2 linked regions of the Caenorhabditis elegans genome follow. The gene in region 1 interacts genetically with each later gene. Each region holds a gene or a part of one and is shown on either strand. Other genes may lie near its edges.

Region 1 (12,777 bases):
GATATTGACGACTTCTGAATATTTATTTTGCATTTGGAATTTCATATTGAGGAACATTAAACTGGTTTTTGCTTTTTACAGTAATACTATTTAGAGCACTCCTACAGTACTTTAGCACTACGGTGACGGTTCAGACTGCCACGACATTTGTTAAAAGCGCTTTTTAAATATTAAATATTACCCAGTTGCGAAAAATTAATATTTTTGATGAATTTTAGGGTATTCACTCTCGACACGACTGAAAATTTTCCGAGGAAAACAGTTTTAGCATTTAGAGAGTACTGTAGTTGAAACTTCCGGTTTTTTATTAAATTAAATTCAATAATTCATTCGTTTTTCTTTTGTTTCTTCCAATTTCAGACTTGAAGAGCAGAAGTCGGTGAAATGAGACTACCGTACTTTTTAAAGGCGCACACTTTTTTACGCGAGTACTTACAAATGATCTCCTTCCTTTATAATTTTCGGATTAAATTTCTTTGCATATCGTTGTACTGCTGTCATTGCACAATAGAGAAGGGAAATATTTAGCAGTATCAACAATAATTCCAACTTCAGAAACATGGTGTTCGTCCGTCAAATGACCGATTTCAAGTCTCATTCTTGATTCTTTTATATTAATTTTTAGGGTACTTGTATAACTAGTTCTCAATTGTTCGATTTCTGAACTTTCTTCATTATTTTTTTACATATAGTGTTATTTTTTGTCTCATTTAACGTCTATTGTAGACATATTTTCGGTCACAACACAAACAGAGACACTACAAACACAGGAAGTTGTTTTCGAGAAATATATGAGGAAGCCGGAAGAGAAACAAAAAAGAAACTTATCTTATTTATAAGGTGTTTTCCTTCTTAAAGTAACTTATTTGGAAATGAAATATAATGGAAAATCTGCTTGGCTGACCTCGGAACTCATTTCTTCCATGTTTCCAGTTCTCGTAATCAGTGGTGACTCGAATTTTGAAGATGTTGCGACCGTGCTCCATTGGACTCTCCTCTGCGTCTCTGCATTTTCCCTTGTCTCTAGTAAGTTTTGATCAACCAAATTTTCAAAGATAATTTAATTTTTTATATTTATTTTTTTTAATCTTTATCAGTTATCAAATGAATATTTTATTAAAATTCTCTGATTATTTTCCAGTTTTCCAAAGAAACAATCATTTTTTCTAATTCCAGATTGTACATAGCCATCGGCACCACATCGCCACTCAACGGGTATTCAATGCTGAAAATTTGTGAGTTATTTTCTTCCTTAAACTTCTAAAAATGTAATTTACATGTCTCCAAATTTTGAAAATCGTCTTAAACAGAAAAAATGCATGAAAATGTAGGTAAATGAACGAATCGGCAATGGTCCGAGACGTCTTCATCGCTATTGTCGTTTCATCTCTATTGAAAATGGGTGGCCGGATGGTTCAAATTTGTCAACGTTTCCGTCATTTTTTGTGTGAAAATCCTTACGAATAGGTGGTTATCTCTTTGGAAATCTCTAAAGTTTGGGATCGTTCGAGATTTCTTCTATGACAGCTTTTATCTTTTATCAAAAAAAAAAGAATCACCATTTCGTTATAGAAAAGTGCGAGAAACCCTATTCCATCGTTTTCCAATTTGCTCCCATCATCATCGCAAAACTTAAGAGAGCACCTGCTTCTGCACATTTGCTTATTTATTGCCACCTCTCCCAGTCAAACGAGCTCTTCACACCACCAGCCTTTTTCTTTCCGTTCGTGTGCAAGATGTTCCTCTGGATTCACTCCAAATTATTCATCACAAAGTATCCGATTTCTTTTTATTAATGTTAGGAGGATAGATGAAATGTCCTACCTGGCTTTTTACCGTTTCCATAGAACCCGATATTTTATATCTATATATCTTGCTCTGGTTAAATAATTTTCTAGTCTTTTATCATTCACAGTTTCAATTTTTCGAGTTTAGAATAAGCCTCTGCCGATATAATAACTCTAAATCCTACTCCTGTGGGGTGCACTGGATTCCTTGGCGGCTTACCAAATTGTGTCTCATAAATCAAACCGCTGCTTCTACAATTAGTAGTTTTTTTGAAGCGTTAGCGCTAGAGTTTCTCTGCTCCAAAGAATATCTTTGTCTTTATTGAATTTTGAATCAGAAAACGATATACACAACTCTTGACCACCCGGCTGACCATTTTAGTTTTCGTGGGTCATACAAGCACCTCCCATATATTTCCTTTCTCGGGTTTTCTTGCATGCTGATACGTTTCTGCGTACTTTTTCCATAAATGTTATTGTTTTTAAGGACGAATTGATACTAATATATTCAATTTACGATTATATAATTGGATAACTTACAAATCTAGCACGAAAAATTCGGACAAAAGTTTCAAAAAATTTTTAATGGCGGATTCGAGTTTCGAAAATAAAAACTAAATGTTGCTAAAATTTTAAATTTCGTGAACGTGCCCAAAAATTGCAAAAAAAAAGCGACAAATCAAAAGATTAGCGACCAATTATGCAATAAAGGTGATAATCAAACAAAAACCCAGAAACTCAACTGTAAATAATCAAATGAGAAACCCTCATTTTCTCGAATTATAGATCTTTACAGTTCTGAATCTTAGACATATCCTCTGATATCCCACGTATTTCACGAAGGTCGATCTTCTTTTTCACCTTACTTCCTCTCCCGACTATTTGTTTGTTCTTCCTTCTTTTTTCCGACCTTCTCAATTGCGCAGTGCTTCTCTTTTTCCCGCTACCATTTCCTCCTGTTTCTCCTATTGTTTCCAATTTCTGAGCCAATGTGCTCTTACTGTTTCTATTTGTCTCCTCGCTTCTCTACAAACTTGCTGACTGGCTGACTCATAAAGTCTTAGAATCTTCTGAAAACTGGAATAGGAAGAACCAGAAGTAGTGTCAAAGTTGAAAAGATCCGATTTCATGTGAAAAAGGAATACGCCGTATTTCTGATACACTTTAATGTTTCCTCCAGTTTTCCCAAATAGTCTCGTTTTCATTCCTGATAAATAGGCAAAATGCAAACAGTGATTGCTCATCGAGTTGTTTTTTTATATTGGAATTCCCTAGATTCTGAAAATTGTTGCTAACACAAGAACATTTATCTCTCGAAATTGAGGAATTGTTTGCAAAGTGGACATTGATTAACATATTTTATAATTTATCTCAACTCATCCGTATCCATACTTCCATCAGATCCATGTTCGACATTTTCTTGTTTGTTCAGTGTTACAGTAACCTGGAAGATTCCGAAAATATTATAGGAACAAACAAAATTCCCAATTTTAAAATATACGTGGAATCGTTCCCCACGGCCAATTAGCACCGCCCACGAATCATGGGTCTCGTTAGGTATTTAGCGGAAAACCCGTAAATTCAGAGTTTTTAAATTACTTTTACCGATTTTGTCAATTTTTAAAAATTTATTTTACTTTCTTTGTATTGATTTTCATTTGGAAATTAATGAAATAAAGTTCATAAACAAATTTTTTTAAAACTTATTCACTTTTCAACATTACACGAATTTTCAAAAAATTATTTCGGCTTATAAATAATCAAAAACAACATAAAAAATAACAAAAATTGGCAAAACTAATTGAAAACGCTTGAATTTACGGATTTTCCACCAAATACCTAGCGAGACCCATGGGTTGTGGGCGGAGCGTTTCAACGTCGATTCTAAAATGACTGTCTTTCTGAATCCCCATAATAATAGAAAAGATTAAATTTAAAATATGTTGTAGTTATTTTTTCACCATCAAAATAGATCACTGCGCATCTTCTCTATTTGCTCTCTTCTCGAACCGCCCATCGTTGACTGACTCATGCCACTGAAAAGTACCACCAAGAAGCCACTGATTTTCCCAGGGTCAAAGCTAACCTCTTTTCGATTTCTTTTCATAACTTTTTTGTTTCGCAATAATTACTCTTCCGATCAACAGTTAGCTTCCCACTTCTCCCGATCTTTCTCTAACAGTTAGCTGATCTACTACTAGACTGTACGATTTTCTCTGTTTTCTCTGATGTTTCTTTGTTATTTTTTGCTCTCAGCTAACATTCCTTGTATAAAACTGTGATATTAATATCAGTTAAGAAATACAGTTAGTGCGGTAGCCAGAAAGTTCATGTGAATCATCATGGCCATCAGAGTCTCTGAGTTTTATAAATTTATATATTTTTGGGATATTTTTTGAAAGAAAGAATTACGGTAGCCGGAATCAATTTTCTTGAATTCCAAAGAGCGTGCACCTTTAAGGAGTACTGTAGTTACCAACCCTGTATTGTTGGGATATTTTTATCAGATTTTTCACAATTTTTACCTGTTTCTTTCATTAAAACCATCAATTTTTTTTGAAGAAATTCAACAATAAGGAGTTGGTAACTACAGTACTCCTTAAAGGTACACGCTCTTTGGAATTCAAGAAAATCGGCCGGTTCGAGACCGGGTACCGTAAAAAAATTTCGCATTCTTTGCACAATATTTCCTTATGTTTCTCTTTAAAAATTTAAAAAATTCCCAATTTTTTTAAATTTTAATTTTCAGAATAACGGATCGTCGGCTTGTCGGTGTTCTTCCCACCCCTTATGCATCAATTTTTCCTGTTTCATAAGGTATTTCAATTAAATTTCTCAACAATTATCCAAAAAAAAAAATTATTTCAGATATCGTCGCCCACAAGTTTCCAAAATGCGGAAAATGCTACTTTTTTGCATCCTTCTACTCTTTATGCCTCAATTTACAGGTAATTTTTCATTTAAAAAAAATGATGTTCTACTTGGAATTGAACGTCACACCTCTTAAAACATATTGAACGGATCGAATGATATTTGACACTACAACCACATGTGTGTTCGTGTTCTACACATTTTTTGTCTAGTGCACTAAACATTGTCATATGGAATAAAAATCGCCACAAACGACTATGAGAAAAGATTGGTTCAGGAGCAGGGAATTTTTTTTCGAAAACGAAAATGAAAAATTTAGTTTGAAACGATATTTTGACCGAAATCGCACTATTTATGTTCACAATTTCCAGTGTGATTCTTTGGAAAGTTGTAAAATTTAAACATTTATAATTTTTCAGTATATCAGCATTTTTCGCTTAATTTTTTTTCCAAAAAATCGAAAAATAAATTTTCCACCAAATACACGAAAAATCTACAGCCCTGTTCAGGCATTTTCTCGATTTTTGCTCTAAAAATACGGTACTGGGTCTCGACACGAAAAGTTTTTATTAAATGCATGTGCGCCTTTAAAGAGTACTGTAATTTCAAACTCCCGTTTTTGCCGAATTTTTAAAACTGGTTTCCGATAAAAAATTGTCTGTTTATTCAAAAACAACTATAAAAGCACACCAATTTTAACAAATCGTAAGAAAAACTTTAAAAAATTGATTAAATTTCCGCAGCAACGAAATTTTGTAATTACAGTACTCTTCAAAGGCGCTCATCTATTTACATTAAATAAATATTGTCGTGTCGAGACCACGGACCGTATTTTTGGGGCGAAAATTGCAAAATTTTGCGTCTGGCGAATAGCCGTATTTTGTGATAATTTCCGTTTACCCGGTTGCAAATTGAAGAGGTCATACAGCAATGCACAGTAGGTGATCGTAAATATTCAAGTACCCGCCAACACCGCCAAAATGTTGTATGCACCCCCTCATAAACACCCTTGACAATACTACCATCGGTATTTATTTCACCTATATTGGCAGCAATCTACGAGTTTACCACCAACTATGTACATACCAGTTATTACATATTCGAATTTAAATGGTCCCTTGAATGGTTTGTCATTAATTATTGTAGATTTTTAAAGAAATCAGGCAATTTGATAAATTGACAAAAAAATGTAGATGTCGAGAACAATAATCACAATACAAATTCAAAAAAAGACTAACAACCAATCTACAGTAGTCTAGAAACAAAGAAATAAAATCGTACTTTTTTTATTCTTCAAGTTTCTTTCCGTGGATCCTTGAGCTTCTGTACTTTCAAAATTCTAGAACTTCCCGTCTCTCCCTATTCAATGCACCTGTGTATTTTATGCTGGTTTTTTCTTGTGACCCTGAAAACTGTACACACAGGTGTTCTTACCAATGTCTCAGGCATTTTTGGAAAAGTAATATTAAGAAAATTATACATATTTTCTTGAATACGAAAAATTTAAATGTTCGGTAAATCGATTCCTGAACGACTTCTAGTCGCATTTGGTATGTCTATAATATCAAAACAAAGATTATTATTTTCCATTCAAATATCAATAAAAGTTTCAGAATCGTGTCTCCCTTCGTGGTTTCGTCAAGAACGTAGTGCTCCCGAACAGCTTCAATCTGCAGAGAATGCAGCTGAAAATAGTGGCTCTGTACCACCCGATACTTCTCGAAATTCTCTAGAAACAAACGAAATAGGTGATGCACCGTCGTCGACTTCGACACCTGAAACACCTACTGAAACTACGATTTCCGAAGCTGGAGACGATGAAAAACGAACTGAAGAGGTTGCAAAAGAATTAAGTAATACTTAAATGTATAGAGAAAATCTCAGAAATTTGTTTTTTTCAGTCGAGAAAGAAGCAGAATATGAGGGTGAATATGAAGATGAAAAGGTTGATGAAGAAGTAGAAGAAGCGTTAAAATATAATGAAGATGCCACTCAAGATGCCACGTCGACTCTTAAACCGGCGGTTCGGAAGGAAATCGAGAAGTTGAAAGAAGCAAAATGCAAAGGTAGCCATTTGATTAGGTCTGAAAAACCTTTTGAGTTTTCGTTCCATTTTTCAGATTTCTCGGTTTTCGGGAAAAACCAACCCTTTTTTTAGTTATTTCAACAAACAGTTTTTGAAAATCTAAAAAATTGAAAAACTGAAAAAAGTTGGAAATAATGTATGTTTAAAAAAACGAGAAAACTAGGTTTCTTAAAAACATGTCAATTTTTATGCGAAAATGTATTTTATAAAATAGGAAAATTACCGAACATTTTGAATTTTCAAAAAAAAAAACCAACAAAAAATTGAAAGTTTTTGATTTTTAGTTTTTTCAAAAATTTAAATTTAAAAACGATTTTCGATTTCAAATGAATGAATTTTTCGATTATTTCGATTTTCAAAAAATAGAAAAAGTTTTCGACGACATCTTTCCATGATTCTTGCTTGTTGAAATAATTAAAAACGGGTGTTTTTTTCCGAAAATCGACACCCTTGCAAATGGATTTATGCAATTGGAGTTCTTTAATAGATTAATGAATTCAGTCTAAAATCTTGAAAAAAAATAATTTTCAGACTACTGTCATCACAACGCGACATGCCACGTGGAAGTGATATTCCGTGAAGATAGAGTTTCAGCAGTTGTTCCTTCTTGCCAGTAAGTCTGGAAACAATTATGAGCAAGTACAGTAATCCTTTTTGCAGTTGTCCACAGGGTTGGGAAGGCACTCGTTGTGATCGTCACTACGTTCAGGCGTTCTATGCCCCAATCAACGGCAGATATAATGTACGTTTGAGCACGATGAGCAGCACGGCGCAACTCCTCGTTCAAGTAATTATAATCTCTCATCTAAACAAAAAAAATTAACAAAAATACCCTTATTGTGAAACCCTAATTAAGTTGCATGTAGCATGTTCTCATCTAATTATTTTTTGGTTTGTTTGCGGTGATGGTTTTCTATGAGAAACATATCATTTTTGTAAATTATTTCTAGGGAAAAACGAAAAAACCATTAATTTTTATGGTTCATCATCCAAATCAAACGATTTCTACAACGCCTTCCAGTCAAGATTCTGAAATTTCTTCTATTTTCAGTGGGCTTTATGAGAGAATTGTGGTGAGAATATAAATTATATAATGGGCTTGATGTCCACATTATTCGTCAATCTAGAATATTCGAAATATGAAAAAAATTAAATTTTAAAATGCTGCATTTGCTCATACTTTTTTTCAGCAATCTTCAACATCAGCTATTCCTGCGTTCGCATTTCTCATTGTCATGCTCATCATGTTTATAACAATTGTTGTTTATGCTTATAGAAGGTATACTTTTCATCAAAAATTTGAAGTCTTGGTAAATTTTCGGTTTTTTTTCTCAGAAAAAATTTCAGGATATTATGAAATTTTGTTCATTTTGATGAGAAAAAACCTTAGAAAATAGCATTTTTCTAAAAGGAGAAAAATGACCGATAAATTGATTTTTTTTTGAAATATTGAAATATCTGAAGAACGAAAAATTGGAAAACGAAAAATTTCGATTTTCAAGTTTAAAAAAATCGAAAAAAATTTGCATACAAAAATGCAATGTTTCGAAAAATATATTTGAATTTTGGCCAGTTTATTCTTTTCTCCTCTCTTCAGAAGAAAATTATGTTAGGAAAATTGTTTTCTAATCAACACACAGCTTAATAATATTTTGAAATTGTTGTTAATTTTCTAAGCATCTTTTTTTAAAGATTTTCGAACATTTTAATGTAAATTGTTCAAAAACAACTATATAAATGTTTCAGAATGTCTAAACGATCGGATGATATGACATATACAATGAGTCATATGTGCCCACCAGAAGCATTCAATGTCCTCAAAACACCAAATGGACGACATATTCCAGTTCATCAAATTCCATCATGTTCTTATACTATCCCAACACCGGGTACAGTACCTCCAAATATATCATCAACTCCTGGATCAAGAATACCCACTCGTCAACAAGCTATTCGAAATAATGAACAAGCACGGAACAACTTTTTCAGCATTCTCAGAAGTCAAGGTACCATTCCATCCAGGTATCAAAATTCTGAAAATTCATTTTCAAAATAAAATGAACTTTCAGGAGTATCAATGACGACGACACGCCGAAGCACTACAAGTCAGTGCCACGTGTTGAAGTTTCAGCAATTAATTACTCTGGCCACATTGATTTTTCAACAGTATCATATCAGTCGGTCAGTTTTTCGATTTTCATGGATTTTTTGAAAATAAATTAATCGCACATTTCAGACTGAATCAGAAGTTTCAAAAGCATCAGTAACATGTCCACCACCGGCGCACACTGTAATTAATATCGAGTTGGATTCTGCAGATACGGTAATTATTGTTTTTAAAAACTAAGAATCGAGGTGATATTACTCAAATGCGATTTTTTCCACGACAAATTTTTGTTGAATGTGGAGTTGTGTCGTTTTGAATGCACTTCAAATGATAAAAATAGACCTCAATGAACAGATATAACTGTTAAAAAACTTTACGAAAGTTTTTTAAATCTTTAATGATTTTTTGGATTTTGCAAAAACTAAAAAAAGGCTAATTATTTTTGAATTACCGCGCAAATGATGGAATGATTTCTGGAAAATATTTTCTAATTTTTCAATATTTGATGTAAACACCGTTTGTCAATTTTTCAGACAATTTCCCGTAAACTTGAAATAACCCCCGAAAGAAATTCGTTGAAATTACTAGTTTGGCAAAAATATCGATAATTTAACTTAAATTAATATTTTTTGCGCGGAGAATTGTCTGAAAAATTGAGAAACAGTAATTCAAATCAAATATTGAAAAAAAAAATTGAGAAAAACCAACGAATTTATTCATAAAAGTGAAAATGTCGAATCCAGGTTAGTCGCAAATTCAAAAATAATTATCCCTCAAATGTTTTTTCATTACTTTTTTAGCAGTTATATCTGTTTATTACGGTCCTTTTTCATTTAGATCACATTTTTAAAAATGACTGTACTCCGCCTTTAACTGCAAGCGGAATTGCGCCTTTAAAGATTACTGTCTTTTGCAACCCCTCGTTGCTACGAAATTTTCATTGATTATAATACAATACATTTTTCGGGTTACATCCATTTGTTTATTTTTTGGAAAATGATTACAGTAATCTTAAAAGACGCAGTTCAACCTGGTATCGTATTATTTGTGCAAAAATCGCAAAATCTAACCTCTGAATAATAAAATGATTACTCATTTGAAAGTTTCAGAATTTTCGATCCCCGTCTCGAAGTTCTGGAGAACAAGGATCACCAGCAACATGTGAACCAATGATTCGACACACATGAAATTATAATTTGTTTCCTTATTTTGTCTTATCTTTTTCTTTTTTCATCAACTTCTCTGTGCTATAATTGTGATTTACCACTGCTCAAACATCTCTGGTCTCTTCAAATTTTTTCGCTTTCTCTTTTTTCCTCTATTTTCATATCGTTCTACATGTTTTATAGATTGCATTTGGCACCCTATTATATCCCACCCAAATGTTCTATAGTTCTCTCACTCTCCCTCTCAGTTCCTGTGACAATTTGTATAATTTTGCCAGTTCAACTCCTCGATTTCCAACGGGTACAATATTTGCATCGTTTTTGTAATTTCCTTTGATCCCTAGTCTCTTCAGGTCCTCGTTGAAAAAACTAAACATTTATTTCATGTTTTTATTAATGGAAAATTGAGAAAAATCATATAGAAAAAATATATATTTAGATAGTCAATAAAATCCAGGAAGTTTGCACTTTTTACTGGCATTTTTCCTTCTCTCCGTGAACCTTGATGTCGAGGGTGACGTAGGTCATGTCGTAGGTTCCTCCGATCTTGTCCTCTGGCACCAAGTACCTTCCGATGCGGACACAGTTCTGGAATTATTTTAATAAATATATTCCATTATTTATTTTGACTTACTGGCTTAGATGGGTTGCAGCTATGGGTAATCAAAAGGTATGGGGCAATAGCATGAGTCTCATCTTCTTCTCCGTAAACGCTGAATTCTCCTTCAGCATCAGTTTTCTTGGTGTCCAAAAGATCATCTGGGTCAACTGAAAAATACAAATACATTTATAGAAAAGTTCTATCAATGAACTTACGGGTGTCCTTCTCATAGAGTTGAACTTCAACATTTGCCAATCTCTTCTTATTGCACACGGCAACTCCCTTAACAGTAACATTCTGAAGACGGGCTGTGCATTCAAGAGCACAAGCGGCGAGCAAGAGACACACGACGAGCGAGCGCATTTTCAACAATAAGTTGTTGAGGTGACTGGCGTCGTGTTGGGGCTCACTATTTATATTGAGATTTGGAGATTAACGTCAGGTGTTGTCCCCCCTTCAATCAACCAATAGAATCAAAGAAACGAGAGCCAATTGGCGTGTCCAACAGCCAGCCATGAGACAACATGAGAACTTGAATCAGAAACAACAACAAGTAATCAGGGATTAGATAATGGGTTGGCAAGCTTGAAAAACAAAATCAAGATTTCAAAATATAATTATGACTCATTTTTTATACGGGGGAGGAATTGGATTCAGAATATCTTGTGCACATACGGAAGTTTTCTTTTCTGATAATCAGATCCACATAGGAGTTCCATGGGAGAAGGGTGTGGTATCAGGGTTTTCTGCATTTTGGCAGAAAGCGCGAGTTGAGGCGTGAGGGAGGCCCGTCGCCTTAATGTCAGGCATGCGTTTGGCGCCTACATGTTAACCCTAATTTTTTTTCTAATTTTATCTAAAATCATATTTATCGGAGGCGTTTTCCGGGCTATAGGAGGGGAGGCGTGCGTCTGCGAAATACCTTATCGAAAATCGGTACAGTTTCAGCTGTCATATTACAGGCTCACGCTGTACCTTTTATATTACGTTTCCGTTTGATTCACAATATTTATTATTGACAATACATTCAGATTGGATTGATTTCTATATTTCAACTGGAATTTTTTTTCGTTTTCAGGCTAATAGTTTTTGTGATGTTACGTGGGATGTAGTGATATCCGCTTCCAGTCTTTCAAACAAACAAACAAAGCTGTAATGATCATTTTGTACACTTGATTATTGATATGTTTACAAGATTAGATGCATGCAAAACAATTTTCAAAAACATAATCGATATTGAAATCAATGTTCACAAAGAGCAATTTGAGTTTCTGATAATCCTTCGAACACTAAAGTTTGAGATCAGTCTCTGATGTTATTGCCAGTTGGTGATTGATCCCTCTAATTGAATCTCAGAATTTTATGTTTGAAATGTGAATGCGTCAGACAATATATAAAATTTTAAACATCACAACAAAAACTGGAGGGTTTCTTCGTTTAGCACTGTTTCATGATTTCATAGTTTCGAAGTTCTAATTCAGCTTTCTGAACATTAAAATGAGGTTTTAAATTATATATAAATTCATAAACAGTTCAAACTTATTTTTAATGAATTTTGTTTTATTTCTCGAGGGGTTCAATTAAGTACTGACCTATGTTTTTTAATATAGTATTTTTTCCACTTTCTACTGCAATGCCCAGATTTCCCGGACTTCGAGTAACAAAGAACGATGATTCACAAAAATTGAAACATCAACGAAAAACAAGTCAGATATCCAGAAGAACATATACACGATCGTGTTACAGCTTGGTGTGCAGCCAGCACTATATCATTTTCTAACTGTATAGGTTTACCTTTTATAAGTTGAGCATTTTTTATTCCAATGCTGAAAGAACAACAATTTTAAAATGTCAGATCTGCGTAACTAGAATCTTCAGAAAAACTTGAAATCTGGAAAGCTGCGGTAGTTGCCGATGTCACACAAAACGATTCTGGAAATTTTTAACTTTTATTATATATATTTATTTTCTGAATTTACTCTTTCTGTGGAAGGTATCAAAATAGACCAAATTTAAAAGTTATACTTCTTTTCGACAAGAAAATTATTTTTTTGTCCTCGTTCTATTTGTCACTCTTCAATTGTTTCTTTCTTTTGACTTCTTACGTAACCTTCTCTCGACGTATTTTTCAACCTTCCTGAACATATTTTTTCCACTCC
Region 2 (13,221 bases), 4.3 Mb from region 1:
GCGAGGACTTATATGTAACATAGGCATCAGGTGTTAAATAAGTCTCACATGTAGGTACTCAGGCTGTTAATTTTTAATCTGCGTGATTGACCTAACTTCAAAATTTATTTTTTGTTTGTTGTAGGTCACATAAAATCTTGCTTCAAAAATGTATTGGTTCAGATTTTTAAGCAACTTTCAAGATTTTTTATAAGTTGAAGTTTAAAGTTTTCAAATTTTCATTTAATCTACATGCCGCACGGCAGGCGTAACTTCGAAGGCAACCTATGCCTACATTTCCGTAAATACATGAACAAATGTAAAGTAGGCGTAGGTCGCCTACACGATGAGTTATGGTTTTCTTGTAGACAATTAGGTTTTAGGAGTGTTATATTCCATTTTCAATTTTTTGATTTACAAACTGAAATAGTATCAAAGATTTTTAGAACAACTCAGTTTCGATTGAACGAAGCCACAAATTTATAGACGCAAGATTTTCCGGAAGTGTGCCTCTTACACCTTTATATATATATTGCTAAAATTACAGTAGGATCACTAGAACTTTTCGAAGTCCAAATCATCATCTGTCATCAATTTCATATTTTTCATTCCCTCACATCAAGTGTCTTCCAATTGTTTTCACGGGTTTCCAAGGACCCGTATGTGCATGTTTATCTAGCTCACACACACACAAAGATCCCAGAAAAATTACACTAACTTTCATTCTTTTTTGCTTGAAACGAAAAGATAGAATAAAAACGAGCAAAGTGACTCGTCGCCGACCCGTCTTTTATGAGAGGTGCATGTGTTCTAGGTCCTTCTCGAATGTTTTTTCACTTTTCTTTGCTGATCTTCTCCAATGACTTAGTGATGAAATATGGGTCACATTTGACGTAGTTTATGAATTCGGGTGTCTTGGGTCACCTGACGATGGAAGGACATGAAGACTTTTCTTGAGTTATTGACCTGGAATGAGTGAGGTTCTAGAATCTAGAACAACTGTTCTTCAACTATAAACATATAGATTTCTGTAGTCAGCTTGAAAAATGTTTTGAAATAGCAAGAAAAAAAAACAGGTGTCAATTTAATTTTAGATCTGTAAAAGTTTAGAAATCAAAATTAAATTTTCTACAATTAATTGGATTAGGTCAGCAAATAAGACGTATATGTATGGTCAATTCAAGTTTATTTTCAAATTTTGTATAGGTGAGTTATATAGCAGTTAGGACATCCAATCCTAAAAGTTTCAGCTAGTTTCAGCTAATAGCTTCTTAGTTGTTTGATCTGAAAAAAATTTAAATTGTTTTTTATGCAATTAATTGAACTTATTCACTGTCTAGTTAAATATTTAACGAAAAAATATAATCGGAAAAATTTAATATTTTTTAGTAAATTTCACTGTTTCTCATTTGCTATAAAATTTCTGTGTGTGTGGTCCAATTTTGATGAAATGTTGTGATGAATTTTTCTCATCTACGAACAAAACATAATTGATTTAGTTATTACTTAACATCAAAACTCAAAGGCCTAATCCAAAATATCGCAAAAAAATTAGTAATGTTACATATTTTCAGAACAAAGTACCAAGAAGCTTAGCTAAAACTTGTAGGCTTGTATATACTAACTGCACACTATATGTAAGTAGCCCATACAAAATTTCAGACAAATCGTAAACTTACAAAATATGTCAAAACTTATTTGTTGACCAGATTTTGTTGGCGATGTGTGCATCATGCGCCCACTTCTAGTATTATCTACAGTTGATCTATAACTAGAGCCCCCTAAAAACTAGTTCAAAAGTCAGCCGAGTCTTGTTGTCACTAAATCACTCAAACAATAAATATATCACATACACATATATCTTCTTCTTTTTCTTCATTTCTTTCTCGTTTTCTTTTGCACCGAACTGATTTAAGATCAGTAGAGTTCAAGATACTCAGAGAAGCTGAGAAAATCAATGATCATGATGTTTTTGGTGACCAGAAGGAGCAAAAGAGCAAGAAGGGAAAGATGGAAAGGAGGAAGGAAAAGCAATCGAACTATACAAAATGTAGTAAAAAGACAAACTTTGAGTACAACGAGCACACAGAGTATGAAGAGGTTTTTGAGCGACTAAACATAGAAATTTTTTCACTGTTTCAAGGGATCTAGTTTAAAATCGAAAAATCGATTTTTCGATTATAATCTTTGATTATAATCTTTGAATAGCGTTCAATTTGAAATGTCCAATGCTCTTAAACTTTTAACTGTAGAGGTAGATTTGGTGTTAATTTCTAAAGCTGGCGAAAACCTTGCAATAGATACTTTTAAACTTTTTTGGAGCTCGTTTGAGCATGTCGGCTGAAAATTTCTGAAGACAGGACGTCCCAATGTACGATTCAAAGTTAATTTCGATGAAGCCAAATTTCTGAATTTCTGTTGAAAATCTATATTAAGAACTACGATATCTCACATTAAAATGAAAATAATTGTTATTTTGCGAACTACAATTATACTGAAATAGGTTTTTTTTTGAAATTCTAGTGATCAAAGAAATTTGAAAAAGTTTTGTATAGTCAACATTAGATCAAAATAATGCTTTCGTAGTTTGTTTATTTAAAACTTTTAATAATAATCTTTAGAACCTCAATCTTTTTGATAAACCAAAACAAATATTTGATAGAAAAATGACCTCTTTGATGTGGAATATAGTGTATTTTGTTTCTTTTTTGAGGAATTGTTCGCACTTTTCAAGTGGAAATTGGCGGAAAAAGATGAGAATAGAGTGGAATGAAGAGGCGGAACGAACAAAACACATTTGATGCGCGATCCCATTGATTTTTATTCGTAGAATTTGGATTTTTTTCATAGATTTTTCAAAATAGATTTTTAGACTCACGCTTATTCCTCAAAACATGTATCAACTCAGATGGGTCTCGTCGCGAGAAAACACATTAAGACATATGTTTTAATCTCCGTGATGCCAGCTGCTTTTATTCTGCTTTCCAACTTTCGAAAATTTAGTTTCAAAATAACTGTTTAAAAGTGGTAAAGTTGACAAATGTTAAGATAATAAGTTGATAAGTAATACTTAAGTTAAGTTGATTCCAAGGAAGCAAATGATACCAAATTTTTCTAAATCCTAGAATGAACTATTTTTTCGTGGCAAGACCAATCTTAACAGATCAGTTCACTTTTCAGAAAATTTGAAAATTACCATAACGTAAAGGTAATCAGTTGAGTCATGTAATCCCTTTTTTCTCAAAAATGTCCACATTCTGCAAAATCTTAGTTGCAATATGTCACAGACATTTGTCTAGTCTGTCAGTTTCAGATAAACTTTTCCCGTTTTTTCAACTTTCACAGCTAATTCGGGGTGTACTAACTAGAAGTAGCTTATTAACCAAATGTCATCTAGTTCCTTCTTTTATAATTTGATTAGTGGTTTTTTTCGAATATATTCTTTTCTAGTTTGTGTTTTGTCACGTATGACCTTGTTTCTTCAAATCAACTTGCTGCTCTCTTCACAAACTAAGGTCATCTGTTTCGTGTTAAGACCCAACGCTGAAAACATTGTCAACCTATTCGTGGCACGTGTCGCTCCCGATTTACACGTTTCTTTTTCTTTGCTCTCTTTTTCTATCTCTCTCGATCAGAGCACAGAAACCAGTGAGAAAAAATAGATGGCGAAAACAAACCCCGCCTCTCTTTTTTTGTGTGTGAAGAGAACCATTGGATCCAAAGGGGCCCCTGTTAACAATATATTTTTACTTTCTGAAATTCTTCTAAAGTTATCTGGAGATAATTATATTCCATAATTGATCACATAACATTTTAAAATGTCTGCAATGGCTGTACTGTATTCAGTTTGTCACTTTCATGGAGGCTGGAATCGTCGGAAATCGGCACCAGTAAGTTGAAAACTGATTTAAATCAATAGGGTACACTCTGTGAAATCATAGTGATATTTGAATAATCAAATGACTTTATGAAGCAACCCGCGGGGCTTCTGTATTGAGAAAATACACGATTGCATTTAAAACTTTGCGAACACAATTGTTTAATTGGCCAGCAAATTGAACATTCGTGATTCCTTTTTTGAACATGGGAATCCCACGTTTCATTCGTAACATCTTTTTCAATACAAGTTTTAACTTTTCTTTTCAGCTATCGAGTTACTGTAGATTTGAAAAGTTAATTTATCAACTAATGAAAATAAACGTATTCCATATTTCCATTAATAATAGATTTATTTAAAGCTTCACTCCATCTACATAAATTCATATAACCGAGCGCAACGCTGTCCTTATTATTTGAAAATTCTAATAAACCCTGCAAAATCTGGGTTAAAATCTTCTGCGCGAAAATGGAAGAGAAAAGTGTGTTCGGCCCGCGGACTAACTCCCTCCGTGTACTCTTCTCGGAAAAGAAAAAAATCATCTTTGCGCCCCTTACCGCCGCTCTCTTTCTTTTGTTGACCTTCTATCTGCGAATATATTGATTTTCTGGTTTATTTTATTTTGGAATTAACTGCAATTTTCACATGGAATGCTCTCGCGAAACGGTGTGTTTTCGAACGTTTTCCACAAATAAAATGAAAGTGAAAAATGCTAAAGGGAAACATTTATTTGTTCAGATTGTTTTAAAAAGTGCTTCACAATAATAAAATAGAGCATCTGAAAAGTAATTTACTTATTGCTTGTTCTGATTTCTCAAATGTCCTTTAAAAGTCCGTGTTTAATGTTTTACTCGTCCAAATTGTCCTTTTGTTTTTTAATTACATGTAATCACTAACAGCAATTTAGAAGTCACCTGTCACATCATCTCAAACGCCATCATCATCGTCGACACGCCGCCGAATGAGTCGGATTAATTTCAAAAAGTCATCGGCGTCGACCACCCCGACGAGCCCACATTGCCCATCTCCGCGGCTTATAAGTCTGCCGAGATGTGCTTCTTCATCTATTGATCGGAAGGTAGAAAATTAGCAACGAATCCTTTGTCTTGAATTTTTTAACACTAATTACATGTTACTTGTGGGGAATCGTGTTAATCTATTCAATTCAGAATCAAGCGTCCACTTCTCATTCCAAAGATTATCAATTAAATATTTATATGTAACTCATAATTATTTTCAGGATCAAGCTTCGCCGATGGCAAGTCCTTCAACTCCTCTTTATCCAAAGCACAGTGATAGTCTTCATTCGTTATCTGGACATCATTCCGCTGGAGGAGCAGGAACAAGTGACAAGGAACCGCCAAAATTCAAATACAAAATGATTATGGTTCATTTGCCATTTGATCAACATTCTAGGGTTGAAGTAAGCAAAAAATTCACTGTGAAACGAAGAAAATAAGCACATTTTGTTCAGGTTCGTCCCGGTGAAACCGCGCGGGATGCCATTTCGAAATTGCTCAAAAAACGGAATATCACACCTCAATTATGTCACGTGAACGCGTCATCTGACCCAAAACAAGAATCTATTGAATTATCGGTGTGATTTACTGGAATCTAACAGCATAATTCTTATTTTTGAATATTTTCAGCTGACAATGGAAGAGATCGCATCCCGACTGCCTGGAAATGAATTATGGGTTCATTCAGAATATCTGAATACAGTCTCATCGATTAAACATGCAATTGTTCGAAGAACGTTTATTCCACCGAAATCATGTGATGTATGCAATAATCCTATCTGGATGATGGGATTTCGATGTGAATTTTGTCAATTCAAATTTCATCAAAGATGCTCATCGTTTGCACCACTTTATTGCGATTTGTTACAATCTGTACCGAAAAATGAAGATGTGCGTTCAGAACAAAGGCGGGCGGCAATATTACAAAATTACCAATGTTGTCCCAACATTTGTCATTAACGTCGAAATATAGAAAACCACATTATTTATCTAATGACAACTTTTAATTATGTTTAAAGATCTGTGAAAATGCACAATAATGGCCATTTGCCATAGGCAATTCGCAACTTCTAGGTCATTTTTGTGCATTTTCATAGATGTTTAAACATAATTAAAAGTTATCATTAGATAATTAAGGTGGTTCTATATATTTTTTACACTGATTTTTAATGAAAAATGTTGGAACAACATGGCGTAATTGCTCACCTCTGCTTCAGAAACAATTCTTATCTAAAACATTTAATTTTCAGCTAGTGAAAGAACTCTTTGGGATCGCATCACAAGTCGAAGGCCCAGATAGATCAGTTGCCGAAATAGTTCTTGCTAATCTAGCTCCAACGAGTGGACAAAGTCCAGCTGCCACACCAGACAGTTCTCATCCAGATTTGACGAGTATTAAACGAACGGGTGGTGTCAAAAGACATCCAATGGCTGTTTCTCCACAGAATGAAACATCTCAATTATCTCCATCCGGACCTTATCCACGGGATCGGAGCTCTTCTGCTCCGAATATCAATGCGATTAATGATGAGGCAACAGTTCAACATAATGTAATAGTCACCAATTTTAAAAGAAAAAGTCTAAAATGTATTATTTTCAGCAAAGAATTCTTGATGCATTGGAAGCTCAGCGATTAGAAGAAGAATCACGAGATAAAACTGGATCGTTACTTTCAACACAAGCACGTCATCGACCTCATTTCCAGAGTGGACATATTTTGTCAGGTAATCGAAAACAGAAAACATAACGATTCGTCAAAAGGTCAGGGAAGAAAAACAAAATTCCAAATTTAAGACGTTTTTCTAAAGTTATAAAAACAATTTTTACTCTATTCCACCTTCAAGAATTTCCCAAACGACTCTAATTATTTTAATTTCACTTATTCTCAATTATTCAGGAGCTCGAATGAATCGTCTTCACCCACTTGTTGACTGTACTCCTCTTGGCTCGAATTCTCCTTCATCTACATGTTCATCACCTCCAGGTGGCTTAATCGGACAACCTACTCTTGGACAATCCCCGAATGTATCAGGATCAACGACGTCATCATTAGTAGCCGCTCATTTGCATACTCTCCCATTAACACCACCACAATCAGCACCTCCTCAGAAGGTAGAATTCAAAAAAATCTATTTTTCTTCAATTAAAAATGTTTAGATTTCACCTGGTTTCTTCCGAAATCGTAGTCGATCGCCAGGCGAACGACTTGATGCACAACGACCCAGGCCGCCACAGAAACCACATCATGAGGATTGGGAAATATTGCCGAATGAATTTATTGTAAGTTTATTCTACATCAGCAAGGGTGCACGGCTTTTGCAAACCGGCAGTTCTACAAAAGGAGCATGTTATCCTAATTTTTTTCATTTAAATTCAGTGATCGAATATAGAAAAAAAACATTTTATTTATCTGAAAATAGCTTTTTTTTTTACAGTTGAAGCAATAAAAAAACGCTCAAAACTTCTGTCAAAACTATTAAAACAAGCATTCTTTTAGATTCAATACAAAGTTGGTTCGGGATCCTTCGGTACCGTCTATCGTGGAGAATTCTTCGGAACTGTTGCTATAAAAAAGCTGAATGTTGTTGATCCGACGCCTTCTCAAATGGCAGCCTTTAAAAATGAAGTTGCAGTTTTAAAGAAAACACGTCATTTGAATGTTTTGCTGTTTATGGGATGGGTTCGAGAACCAGAAATTGCAATTATTACTCAATGGTGTGAAGGATCGAGTTTGTATAGACATATTCATGTTCAAGGTGATCTGAACTGAGATTTTAATTCTTATAATTTAATAATTTTCAGAGCCACGCGTCGAATTTGAAATGGGTGCTATCATTGATATACTGAAGCAAGTGTCTCTTGGAATGAATTATTTACATTCAAAAAATATTATTCATCGGTAACTGACCATATCTATAATTTATGTTTAAATGTTTAAAACATTTCAGTGACTTGAAAACGAACAATATATTCCTTATGGATGACATGTCAACGGTAAAAATTGGAGATTTCGGCTTGGCAACTGTCAAAACGAAATGGACAGTGAACGGAGGTCAACAGCAACAACAACCAACAGGAAGTATTCTCTGGATGGCACCTGAAGTCATCAGAATGCAAGATGATAATCCATATACCCCACAGTCTGATGTGTATTCTTTTGGAATATGCATGTACGAAATTCTATCTTCGCATCTACCATACTCCAACATTAATAATCGAGATCAGATATTGTTTATGGTTGGAAGAGGGTATTTGAGGCCGGATAGATCGAAAATTCGACATGATACGCCGAAGAGCATGCTCAAATTATATGACAATTGCATTATGTTCGATAGAAATGAGCGGCCAGTATTTGGAGAGGTGAGTGGGAAATACCGACTTTAGAAATTTGGTAGAACTATGATTTATTATGGGGTTATTCATGAGTGTCAAAAAACTTTTAAAAAATCGATTTTTTGTACTTTGTACATGTTTCGACAGCGTCGACGAGCGAAAAACTACAGTAAGCCGCCATGCGGCGAGACCATACGTTTTCATATGACTATGTCTCTTCAAAAGTTGTGTAAATTTACGAGCTGGGCGTTCTCCCCGTGTACACCGCGAGGACAATTCGGAATTTATTTTCTTCCAGTACTTCACACATTTTCGCTCTTTTTTTTCACATTTAAAATTGGCAGTTTTGTCTAAATATGGTGGCTTCCTTTGATTTTTCACTCTTTGACGCTGTCGAAAAATGGATAAAAACATGCTTTTAAGAAATCGATGTATTTTTTAAAAACATTTTTTTCGCTCATGAATAACTCCACTACACTGAAAAATCCAAAAAAATATTGTAGTTTGATTTTTAAATAAATTTTAATGAATGAATTCCAATTTTTCAGGTTCTCGAACGACTTCGCGACATAATTCTTCCAAAATTGACTCGTTCTCAATCAGCTCCGAATGTTCTTCACTTAGACTCGCAATATTCGGTGATGGATGCTGTAATGAGAAGCCAAATGCTTTCCTGGTCATATATTCCACCTGCAACTGCAAAAACCCCACAATCAGCAGCAGCAGCGGCCGCTGCTAACAAGAAGGCATACTACAATGTCTATGGTCTCATTTAGTTTTATTTTGTTTTTTTTTTTGAAAATCAAGGGACACTGCAACTTTTTAGTTGATTTTCTCGTCTCTCCCCGAATATGTACCTTTATTTTCTCTCTTTTTTCTATTCTTCCCAGTGATTTTCCCTACCCCATGTGTACACTAACCAAAAAACTTCCAGTCGAAGAATAATCTCGCCCATCGTTATTTTACTAATCATTTCTCGTCACATTGAATCCTGTTCTATTATTCACCCCCTCATCACCCATCCCGATATTATTATTATTATTTTAACCCCGTATTCACCGTTTCCTCCAAAACTTAAAAATCCCACCAAAATACTTTCTTTCCAGTCTAAGTCCGCCTGCAATCGTTCCCCCATGTGAAATTGTGATAATTTTCATATTTTTGTTTCGGCTAAACCGGTAGAACTTTTTCTTTTCCAACTATAATGCTTTTTATTGAAAACGTTTCTTTTGATAAGTTTTCAATGTTCCCACCCCATTTCCGTTTCCAAACATCCCAAAGATTCTCTGTATGTATAGAATTATATAGAATCCAATGCCTATCCGTTTTGTTTTTGTCATTTCGAACACATTTTGAAACTTCCATTTATTTTAATTTCAAAATGCAGCATCCCCATTCCTTTTCTGAACCGGGTTATTTGAATCATTTAATTTTTGCAAACAAAAAAAGTTGAAGATAAAATAATTTTTCGCCTGACTTCCTGTTTCTTCTTTTGAGTGGCTAGAAAAAGTGTAGGATTTCAGATTAATATTTTAAAATTTGAAAAAAAAACAAAACAATTTTGTTCCAGAGGATTCCACAGGATGTCGGACGAATGGGAACAGCTTACTGTAGAGTTGAGAAAAATTCCACGTGGCACCGAAGCTGCACCACAGTATTTGAGAGTAAGATTGAGAGGTGTTGATTTATCGAAATGAGAATAATTCCAGCATTTAATGAAAATGTTTGTCGCTGACTTCGAAACTGCTGTATCCAAAAGATTCGATGTAAAATTCTGGAATAAACTGAAATCAATGATGGATGAAATAACAAAAGCAATGGAAAATGATCGACTTGTTAATCATAATGTTCAAAATCTTGCAATTGGATTTTTGACTGATTTATCACTTCTTGTTCATTATCATTATGAAATTCCAAATTATGGAAACGATATCTCAAAACAATTAACATGGACACCAGATGTATTTCTAAACAGAAAACCTATCAAGTCGAAAAAGAATAGTCGAGTGTTCATGGCTTATGTTCTGTTAAGAATGGGAGATTTAATGAGATATAAGGTAGTTTTGAAATTTTTTCATAATTTTGGAAACAATGATGTCAAAATTTGTTTTTCGTTTTTCGAAGTTGATCCAACATGGACCAAAAGAAAAATCGAAAAAAAACCCGAAATTTTTAATTTTTCGATACCAAAAAATTCTAAAGAGCGAAGGGTGTCGTTTGGGTAGTATTTTAGAAAAATCATATAACATTTATTTTCAGGAGAACTACCCAAAAGCTCAGGAATATTACGAGCAATCATGCCGCATTAATCCAGCTGATGGAGCTGTCTGGAATCAGCTAGGATTGATATCTTCACTTGGGTAATATTCAAAATTCCATAGATTTCAGGAAAAAGTTTACAATTTTCAGTGCAAAAAACCTGGAAAGTGTCTATTTTCATACACGAGCTCTTCATGCCACTATGGAATTCCCAACTGCTTCTGGTGGCTTAACGAATATTTTCAAAAATTTTGCAAATCGAGGTACTGTAGGATTTTCATTGAAAACCTAGATATCAAAATATGTCTGTTTTCAGATATTTCAAGACCAATGCCTATTAAAGATCTATATTTATCCTGCCTAGGAAGAATTCATTTCGTGAGTTTAATTCAGAAAGATGAGTATACAAGGGTTACAGATTTCAGCTTCTAGAAATCGAAGATTCTTCTGTGCACCTACAAAAAATTGGAGAAGAAGCTGCAACTTCAAAAGAAATGATTGTTCCTCTAATGTCTGTATATAAACATCTCGGTTGGTTATTTTTAAATTTTATTTTGTTTTCATTAACATTAAAATTTTTCAGAGGACGGAACTGAACTTGAACAACGAGCCGTAGAGTATGTCAAAACTATTTGGTGTACGGCCTACCGAAGTCTCCTGAAAACTTTGGATGATTATAAGGAGGAATCAAAAAAACTGGCAGATGTTCCACATCTTCTTCATATTCTGGCACTTTTACTCTGTGCACCTAAACTCCTTCGCGGTATTGAAGACCAAACTGAAGATGAAGTAACATCAATTTGCGAATGGCTTCTATGCGCAAATTGTGATGAGAAAATCAAGGATTCTGATGCTTTTGGATATTTTCATTGTCTTCAAAGAATTCAATATCCACTCACTAGAACTCAATTGGCTCAGAAATTAGTTGAAATAGAGGATGAAGATGAATCTAAAGATTCCGATCAATCAACAATACCAGAAGAAGATCAGAAAAGCCTTTCTACAGACACTTCAAGAATTCAAAACGAGGATTCGGAACCTGAATCTGAATCTGAATCTTCGGATGAGGAAGTTTTGCAACGTGGCCGTCGGCGTGGAAGAAATCCGAATCTAGACGAATCAGTCGAAACGGATGAAGATGAATTTTAATGATATCATATTTTCGAGTGTAATTGTGATATAATTCCATTGATTCCAGAACATATTGTCATAATTTTTGGTTTTTTTTCTTTTCATGCTACATAAAAAATTAATATAATTTTGGTCTATTGCAAAAAGAAACGATCTACAACGTTGAAAAGTTCGGATTAATTTCAATGAACGAATAGTTTATTCATGAGGATTATAGTCTAGTAAATTGCAATTTTCACACTTTTTTGTATAATCTCTTCCTTGTTCATTTCCGCCTTCCCACGCCAACCTATAAATGTTGCACGGGGCGAAAGTTTATTCATTCAATTGTTGCGATCATAATGGTTCGAGTTTTACTTGTAGCCATTGCTCTTATTGCATTGATTGTTCAAGTCGACTCCGACTCAATGCCATGGAGAATGATTATGGCGAAGGTTTGTTTGAAATTAGGACACCGTCATTTAGGTGAAACTTGAAATTATGTGCTACATTTTTAATCAATCGCAGTTTTCCCTGTGAAGGAAATTTCTTTTTTTTTTGGAATTCGTAACCTTTATAAACTTAATTTTCTGCACCAAATAACCACAACTCTACAATTTGGCACATGTTACGACCGTTATGAGATTGAGCGTGGCGAGACCTATTCAAAAACTGCGTGTGCCTTTAAACTTGTGTGTCAAAGCTTTGCAAAACAATCATATCAGCAGTGGGGAAAGTGCTTAAAATTACTGATAGGGTCCTAAGGATCATAGGTTAACAATGGCCAAATATCAAAGCATATATTTTTTTTGTTGACAATAAGAATATTTTTGTAGACAAAAAACCATGGTTTTCCTCCAGGTTTATATATTTTATGGTATTTGTAATTACGTATCATTATTTGAACAATACATATTGAGATTCAGTTCACATCATTGCTCGAAATTACTTTAAAAAACGTCTAATTTGTCTTTAAATTAGCACTTTTCCAAAACTTTGACTTAAAAAACTAATACATTGTAGAGTTCTTCATATTCACTGTCGCTGCTGCAAATCGAAATATTCTGTGGCAATCTAATTCCATTTTCACCATTTAAATTCTGATTCGAAACCCGAAAAGCACTGAGAAGCTATGATCAAAATAACAAGATTCCTCTCAAAAAGCACGATTTTAAAAGATGGAAAGATCAGACTAATTCCAAACAAATAAAAAATAGTTTGTTGAAGGATTGCCCTTGTTTACTTCCGAGACTTATATAAAAGTACAAGATACGGAAAGAAAGTTCATTTAGTCATTCAGAAATGATTCGAATTATTACTGTATCTTGTGTATTGATTGTTTTATTTCTCTCTACAATTAACTCAAATTCCATGCCATGCAGACAAGTGTTTGTAAAGGCATGTAGATTAAAAGTTGTAGGAAACATTCTTAATTTCCAAAAGTAATTTTACGATTTTACGACACCAATTTCCCTTTTCCAAAATTAATTTTAATGTTCAAAATTGATGAGGCTTGCAAAATAAAAATTATCGGTTTCACATTTTCAGCCTGGAGATCGAGTGGAAATCGGATATTACAATCCAAAAAACATTACGAGATTTGTGAAGAATGCAAAAGGAGTCGGTCAAGAACACGTTTTCAGA

Evidence for each region.
Region 2: of lin-3 (region 1) and lin-45, changing one enhances a phenotype caused by changing the other (phenotypic enhancement), as found in Caenorhabditis elegans (one large-scale study listed by BioGRID).

The regions. Positions count from the first base shown.
Region 1 is NC_003282.8:11,053,134-11,065,910, forward strand, and holds lin-3 (Protein lin-3), read left to right. Parts: upstream 1-4,680; coding exon 4,681-4,735; intron 4,736-6,165; coding exon of another isoform or gene 6,166-6,208; intron 6,209-6,265; coding exon of another isoform or gene 6,266-6,271; coding exon 6,272-6,511; intron 6,512-6,559; coding exon 6,560-6,724; intron 6,725-7,275; coding exon 7,276-7,357; intron 7,358-7,404; coding exon 7,405-7,531; intron 7,532-7,694; coding exon 7,695-7,817; intron 7,818-7,934; coding exon 7,935-8,023; intron 8,024-8,490; coding exon 8,491-8,766; intron 8,767-8,813; coding exon 8,814-8,925; intron 8,926-8,980; coding exon 8,981-9,067; intron 9,068-9,960; coding exon 9,961-10,038; downstream 10,039-12,777. Other genes in the region: F36H1.12 (Dynein light chain), read right to left, coding at 1-14, 437-501; ttr-16 (Transthyretin-like protein 16), read right to left, coding at 10,489-10,605, 10,652-10,785, 10,834-10,981.
Region 2 is NC_003282.8:6,739,001-6,752,221, reverse strand, and holds lin-45 (Raf homolog serine/threonine-protein kinase), read left to right. Parts: upstream 1-3,797; coding exon 3,798-3,869; intron 3,870-4,407; exon of another isoform or gene 4,408-4,501; coding exon of another isoform or gene 4,502-4,522; intron 4,523-4,763; coding exon 4,764-4,934; intron 4,935-5,096; coding exon 5,097-5,279; intron 5,280-5,330; coding exon 5,331-5,453; intron 5,454-5,505; coding exon 5,506-5,766; intron 5,767-6,125; coding exon 6,126-6,425; intron 6,426-6,475; coding exon 6,476-6,599; intron 6,600-6,772; coding exon 6,773-6,987; intron 6,988-7,032; coding exon 7,033-7,155; intron 7,156-7,372; coding exon 7,373-7,631; intron 7,632-7,677; coding exon 7,678-7,774; intron 7,775-7,823; coding exon 7,824-8,235; intron 8,236-8,756; coding exon 8,757-8,984; 3' UTR 8,985-9,684; downstream 9,685-13,221. Other genes in the region: smg-7 (DNA/RNA-binding domain-containing protein), read left to right, coding at 9,792-9,872, 9,918-10,265, 10,468-10,568, 10,618-10,730, 10,784-10,845, 10,893-10,998, 11,051-11,616; Y73B6A.3 (TransThyretin-Related family domain), read left to right, coding at 11,940-12,032, 13,126-13,221. UniProt on the Caenorhabditis elegans protein: Protein kinase that participates in the induction of vulva and has roles in fertility and viability. Acts downstream of the Ras protein let-60. Required for progression of developing oocytes through the pachytene stage.